Daphnia pulex: one gene and its partner. The protein of the gene in region 2 binds, or shares a complex with, the protein of the main gene of each other region. Links are inferred from orthologs where the notes say so. Each region holds a gene or a part of one and is shown on either strand. Other genes may lie near its edges.

Region 1 (3,762 bases), on a different chromosome or scaffold from region 2:
TACAAAGAAACTAAATGACGAGCAAGGCGTTTGTCATAAAGTTCGTCTTGAGGATCCAACATCAAAAAAATCAAGTCGAACCTTGTTTTAACCAATAAAATTTTATGATGACAATGAAATGGTATATCCAGATGAATGGTACTACCTTGACAATAATGTATGAGGCAGTTCAATGTTCTCGATGATGGTTTTGTCTTTGTTCCACTGAGATTCGATTGGATTTGCTCCGGCCAAGATCGATGTACGAGCATTTAGCTGACAGATGATACCAGCTTTAGCAATGCTCAACGTTTGTTGTTCCATTACCTATACAAATATATATAAATTAACGCTGAATCCACTAATAACTAGAATGAACTTTATACTTCATGAAGAATGCTGCGAGTGGCGTCGGACATTTTATCGAATTCGTCAATGCAACAGATACCATTATCTGCCAGAACGAGAGCACCAGTTTGAAGGACAAGCTGCTTGGTTTCAGGGTCTTTTGTCACATACGCAGTGAGACCAACAGCCGAACTTCCTTTGCCAGAGGTATATTGTGATCGTGGGACCAAATTAAAGATGTACTGCAGCAACTGAGACTTGCTAGTACCAGGATCACCACAAAGAAGGATGTTTATTTCCGAGCGAAAACCTCCACGACCAACTTCCGTGAAATCTTTTTTGGTGCCACCGAAGAGTTGAAGGAGAATTCCTTTTTTGATATCTTCATTCTCGTAAATGGATGGAGCGATGGCTCGAGCCAAACGTTCATAAATATCTGGTTTCTTGGAAAGTTCGTGAAGTAATGCTTCGCGTTCAGCAGAAAAACGCGTTTCTTTCCTAAAATGAATTAAACAATAATTATCGATAAAAGATACATGTTACACAAAATATATAAATAAATACCCTCGTTCGGTTTGATTTCGAAGGCGATGGACATCGATTTTGCGATAATGTACAACGTCAATATGAGTACGATAAACAGATTTGACATTGCTTTGAATTGGGTTTACGCGCAACGAAACAGCACGATAAATTCCGGTCACGGTAACGCGATCGCCCGGCTGAACCTTGTCCACTAAGTCATTGTGAGCAAAGACAAACACGGTGTGAGGTGTCTGACCTGCTGGCATGTCATCTATTTAATCAATAAAATTTCCGTTAAATATTTTTAAAAAATTGAAAATATTGCAAAATAGTGATCAGCAAATCTATCTCTACCTGGTGACTCTTGAAGTTTAACCATCTGACGATCGGAAAATTGTGATCTATTGTGAATGATGGAAAAGGAATGCCCTGTGTTGCACATGGCACAAAGAGTTGGTTCCAAAATTCGTCCACGATCAACTTCAACAGAAGCCGTGTTGCTACATACATTGCAGCGAAAGAATGCTTCACGCATTTCAGGAATGATATTGCTCGTGCGAATAACCATACCACTAATAGTGATTAACTGATCAATATCTAAAAGGGTAAAAATATTATAGGTTTTTTTTCTTTCTTGAACCGGTAGAACAGAAATACCTTCAGGATTTAGAGCACGCATGTTCTTGGTTTTGTCGGCACAAAAGGGCCTGACTTGAATTTGATGAGGCAGGATGACATCTGGGTATTTCTCAAAAAACATTTCATTTACAGTCATATCTAACGTCGGGATAACCTCTTGTGGATAGCAGATCAATTGACGATAAAGGTCAGCGTCAAAGGCCTTCAAGTGTGAACAATTCAGATTCAAGAATGGATCTTCCAAATCAGCAATCTAAAAGAAAGATTTTATAATAATAAAGAAATATTTTGTGGGATTAGGAATCAGTTCTTACCTGTTGCAGTTCTTGAAGGTAGTAAGGTTCATTGACATTCATGTTTTCCCCTAAATCCTCTTCATCACTTTGCAAAAATTGGTTGATGAAGCGACAGAATTTAGTTTTACATTGAGACACAACCACATCAGTTCCCCAAATGACCAACTGTGGCCCTCCTGATTCTGCTTGCTCCTTGATTGGGGTCAAATTTCCCTGCTAAAATTTGGATTAGCACATTGAAACAATAAGAACTAGTTAAAAAAGTAATACTTCATTAGCTCCCAAATTGACTTGGCGGACTTTCCTATCAGAACGAACATCAGGACGTTGATGTAGAGGGGTCCCTCTTGCCCCAGAGCGAGGAGTTCTCAAAGATGAAATTGAACTTGGAGTTCCATAATTGAGAGGAGAGTTTAAATCCAATTCACTAATAGCTGGAAATAATACAGAACTGAAGATGACCCTGTTGCTATTTTAAAATACAAGTATATTCACATACCTCCTCCAGGACTCATTCCAATATCCATATCATTATCACCATGATGAGATGGAGTGGAAGGCAAAGGAGCAACATCAGAAATATCCGACATCGCTAGATTCAATGTGAAATGTTTGAAATCGAGGTTTCAATAATCATAAATTATTTAGGTAATTTTATTACCTCCTGCAGAACGACGTCGAGATCTTGAAGTACGGCTACTAGCATGACTTTTTGCTGGACTTGCCATTTTTCATCAAGGGTAAAATCTTATTCAAATTGAAGAAAGACAATAACACGACAATGATATTTGATACACGAATCTGAACTATCGGAACGATAACGGGTCTTGGGCAGTTGGGCTTGACCGCTTGAGACTTACAGAAAACAGAGAAAGGCTTCGCGGCAAAATGTTTGGAGGAGGAGGAGTCGTACCTAAATTGTTGCCAGGTAACATCGGTTACTTTAATTTTACTACAACACTTGATAGGAACGGATATAAAACACTTAATTATAATTTTTCATTTTAAAAAACAGAATTTATAAATTTTAACAACTTTTTAAATCAATAAATGATTAAAATAATACGATTGACATATTTGCCGCCAGGTGGGCCTAAACAACATGGAGTCCAAGGTCTCAGACGTCAAAACGCCCAGCGTGATTTGTATATAAATGAATTATAAAGTGCTTTGAAGCTAAATTGATTGCTCAAAAGGTATTTATGGTGTGAAATTTCATTGTGTTTGATTCAGTTCTAATTATCTGGAATCCTAGAGATCCTACGATTGCTCATGTCATCTACGTGGTTTGTGACCTGTGCGTGCATCAAAATTCTTACCCTGAGCTGTGAAAAGTAAGGATCAAATAGCCAAAGTTATCTCTAATACAATTTGAAACAAGTGATTCAAAGGAAATTGATACAAGTAGTCACAGCTGAAAAATGTTGTATTTTGAGTATTAACACAATGTAAAAGCATCCAACTGACAGCTGTAGTGCAGTGCTATTCCATTGTTTGGCTTGTCCAGTACTTGTTAACAGTTTTCTTAGTTTATGGTTTAAGCAATTTTGGTTTATTTTTATTAAGACTTTTGAAGTTTGCAGTAAAGATTTCATGTAGAGGTGATTAAATATGATATGTGAAGTTCATTCATAGTTTAAGAATCATAGTTAGTTACCAATAATATTTATTTTATTTTTTTCAGAATACCCTTCATTGGAGAACTCATTTGGCCATCATGACTCAAGAATTTCTACCTTTGTGTGATGTGTTGTTCAACATCATTTCGATGGCGTCGTATTTTTGCGACGTCGTTTTCGATGTCATCACTGCTTACACTTTATACCAACAGCAGCAATATGTTTGGCTATCCCTAGCTGTGTTCTTCATCACCTCGTCGTTGATCGTCAGTCAATTGCTTTCGGCCAAATGGTTTCTGGAACGACATTCCTCCTGCCAACCAGCAAACGACGACGATAATGACGAGAAAGATGTC
Region 2 (3,435 bases):
CGAACAATCTACCTTTCATATACAAGACAATTTCATTTGTTGTGTAACTATCTACAAACTATCTACACATTTGAAATTTTACAATACAAAAAAAAAATAAAAGCATGGCTTACATTTTTTCTCAATGAAATGGTGTAATAAGCAGGATTTTCCTGTGCCTGCACTGCCAATGACAAGAAATTTGAAAAGGAATTCTGAATAAGATAAAAGTAGAATTGATTAGCATTGTGAATTTTTGAACAATAAAAAAATGGGTTGACGTTTGTCTAATGAACAACAAGTAAACAAGAAAATACTACCGAAATTTTCAGCCATCCTTGGGCATACAATTACGGAGAAAGGCTATATTATCAATAAACCGATGTAAAGGGTCTCAGTCTCAAGTATCAGTAAGAAACTGTCAAAACCAGAAATCAACTAACAGGATGTAGCTTTGTGATTGCAAGGAAAGTGATTGGCTATATGAGTTCATGAAGTCTAACAAGTTAGTTAGCAGACGTTTTTTCTCGGCTCAAAAAACAACTTGGTCATTAGCGCCACCTTTTGTATGTTGTATTCAATAGAAAATAAATTAATTTTTTGTAAATTTACCTGTATTCCTGAAGAAATTTTACATAAAAGTTTTACAAAAAGTGTAGCTTTAATTAAATTACAACAAATTGACCGTATTATTTTGCAACAAGCTTGAAATTGATCTATACGGAAGTAAATGTTGAGAATTCATCAGCAGTTCCACTTCTATTTCACCCCTGATAAAATCAAATAAGAATTTTGAATACAATGTGAAGAAAAAATTATTTGAATTCAATATAAACACTTACTCGCTAGTGCCATCGCTCACAAGAACTGAGGGGGCATCATCCTTAACGCATACGAAAACGTAGCTATCTCGGTTTGGAGTTGTAATGAATTTTTGGGTGTTGATTTCTCTCATGTTTGTAGGCATGTGTCTGAGTCCAAGAGTTTTTAGGTGGGTTTCTGTGTTGGAGTTTAGTCTGTCAAAAAACAAACAATATGGTTGTTAGAGGAACTTAACAAAAATAACTGGTAATACTATACTCTTGTGCAAATTTTAATTCATCTTCTGTAAGCAAACTTGGTTCATTTCGTTGTCTTTTGTTTTCATTGTTCAACAAGTAGCCAAGGAATTTTTCTATTTTCTCCAGACGTATTCTTAGGTATGATGTAACTACATAGCGTATTCTTTCAACCTAACATATGTTTTACAAATATATTAGTAAAGGGGGAAGGGCATAATCTTGATTTAGTAGTTCATACTTCCATTCGATGCAAAGCAAATCGAAAATCTGATTTAGAAATGGCCATCAGATTCTCTTCCATGTTCTTTGTCTGCTCTAAAAGACAGTCAACTAGCTCAGTCTGTGGAGATAATAATTCTGGGGCGAGCATTTCATTGAGCCAGCTCTTGACATACAATAATACAGAGGAATGTCAACATCAAACAGGACATTTTTGGCACGTCTAATCATTCCAAACCTCTTCGAGTTTCTTGACGGCTTCAGAAGCAGATAAGAATTCGGCGTCTTCGGTCTCTGATATAGTATCCGCTGTTCCGAAAAGATCACTTAGTTGCGTTAGATTTCCGGAATAGGAAGCCATTATTATTCTTATTCAATCGTAAACGAAATTTTACCACAAGCCGACTGCTATTTGACAGGAGAGGCCTCACAAAACAACGTTTCCCGCCAAAAACAAAAACATCGTTGCATGACTCGGCTAATGAAGCCAGAGCTCAAATGTTCTATTTTTTCCTTGGATTATTGTTCCGTTCTAAACGGGTTTGTTCTTCAAACATTTGCAAAGCAAACCTGGCCCTCTTTGAAAAAATATATCAGTTTAAGCTAAGCGTGTCAATCGACAACAAACAAAACAAGTCGTTTCTGCCATTTGGTTAAGTGCTGGCTCATCGACTTTAAGAATACATTATGCAAATGCAAGCGAGCGGAAACCATGTATATTTTTAGTTACATCTTATATTCTAAGAAAAGATGTTGTGATTTGGCCAAGTTTGTACCGGGCGGACGGTAGTGCCTTAAGGTAGAGCAAGGTAAACAATAGTAAGGCAAACCATCACGGTATACTCGACATTTTGTTCAACTTGAATTTTTTTGCGTTGGCGTTTCGCATTTCCTTCAACTCCTGTTCCATCACAGTTATCGGTGGAATTGGACGGCGAAAAAAGAGAGAACGTTAAAAATGAGGACAAGATTTCGAAATCGAAAGAAGATGGTTTGTTCCTACGTGGCATCCGTGTTCGCGAATACGCAACATCCTTGTAAAAATAAGCAATCTAGTGCTATTATTAGATTACGAAATGTACAGAGATCGCACGACGAGTATTTATTATTTACAAGAAAAGACATCCCTTTTGCGTGGTCTGCTGTACAAACCGTAGGTATATGTACGTATAATTACGTATCTGGCGGCAGGTGGTTAACTAAACAGAGCGGACGTTGAGTGACGAACTGCACATGGACCGTTTCCAGACGATCATTGAAATTGCTGCACTCGGGTCTAAATAAAACCGTCACATAAGGAACTCTAGTTTTCATTTACGCCAACTGTAGCACAAAATGCTACAGTAAGAGAATTAAGGGGTAGTAGTATAGACGGAGAAAACAAAACAAGCTTTTCGGGTTGTCGTGACGTGTTGAGCGCCAAGAAAAAACTAAAAAGAACTAGCGAGGCCGTATTCAAGAGACCGGCTCAAGCATAGCGGGCGTTCAGTCTGTAAGGATCTGGCTAGCGGAGCTGGCTCGATCACTTAAAGCTCCTTCTTTTAGTCCACGAGCAATAAAAACTGCATATCGTTTCGAAAAGCAAAGTTCCGCAGTTCGCACAGTGTGGGGGAATCGACGTCGATTTCTTATTGGGAATATCAACAGCTAGCTACCACAACACATTTATTATCGAGAGGTGAAAACAAAAAAGAAAGTCGATTTCCGGAGTGCGCGCGCTGGCGAATTACATTCAATCTCCTTGTCGCCCGCAAGCAGCCGATATGCGCTGGGAGATAATGCAGTGGTAAATCACAAAATTTTTATCTTCAATATTTTATTTAATTGCTTTTGGTCAGTTCCCATTCACGGAAACAGCTCAAAAAGTCGTTGACCGGATTTCGTATGAAATTATAAATCGATTTAGACTACATATCGATAGCTTAGCATCATCGATTTTATGCGTTACCCAACCCCTTCCAACAAATTTTGTTTCGTCTGCTCTGCTCAGCCGCAGTCCGAATGTGTCGACAAATATGGCGTTCAACTGTTCTATAGATTTCTGCCAAACTACTGGTAAGAAAAGCTGAAATAGATTTGTTTTGGCTAACTAATAAGGTTTTCTTTTCCTCGAGGAAAGTCCCGTGTGATTGAGCAATTTGAGCTTGTTGGAGAAAAATCGATTTAGGCAACGATC

What was found.
Region 1: DNA replication complex GINS protein SLD5-like (region 2) and DNA replication licensing factor MCM4-like share a complex: the UniProt entries of both Homo sapiens proteins name them as parts of the CMG helicase complex. The link is inferred for Daphnia pulex from reciprocal best matches to the Homo sapiens genes GINS4 and MCM4.

The regions. Positions count from the first base shown.
Region 1 is NC_060020.1:7,895,155-7,898,916, forward strand, and holds the start of DNA replication licensing factor MCM4-like, read right to left. Parts: upstream 2,663-3,762; 5' UTR 2,516-2,662; coding exon 2,449-2,515; intron 2,380-2,448; coding exon 2,287-2,379; intron 2,222-2,286; coding exon 2,058-2,221; intron 2,004-2,057; coding exon 1,806-2,003; intron 1,745-1,805; coding exon 1,510-1,744; intron 1,450-1,509; coding exon 1,207-1,449; intron 1,124-1,206; coding exon 892-1,123; intron 826-891; coding exon 366-825; intron 307-365; coding exon 146-306; intron 82-145; coding exon 1-81. Other genes in the region: uncharacterized protein LOC124192073, read left to right, coding at 3,505-3,762. UniProt on the Homo sapiens protein: Acts as a component of the MCM2-7 complex (MCM complex) which is the replicative helicase essential for 'once per cell cycle' DNA replication initiation and elongation in eukaryotic cells.
Region 2 is NC_060022.1:2,233,886-2,237,320, reverse strand, and holds DNA replication complex GINS protein SLD5-like, read right to left. Parts: upstream 2,156-3,435; 5' UTR 1,621-2,155; coding exon 1,498-1,620; intron 1,426-1,497; coding exon 1,279-1,425; intron 1,212-1,278; coding exon 1,060-1,211; intron 996-1,059; coding exon 822-995; intron 750-821; coding exon 650-749; 3' UTR 578-649; downstream 1-577. Other genes in the region: ras-related protein Rab-4B-like, read right to left, coding at 114-194, 300-315; tau-tubulin kinase homolog Asator-like, read left to right, coding at 3,199-3,314. UniProt on the Homo sapiens protein: Required for correct functioning of the GINS complex, a complex that plays an essential role in the initiation of DNA replication, and progression of DNA replication forks.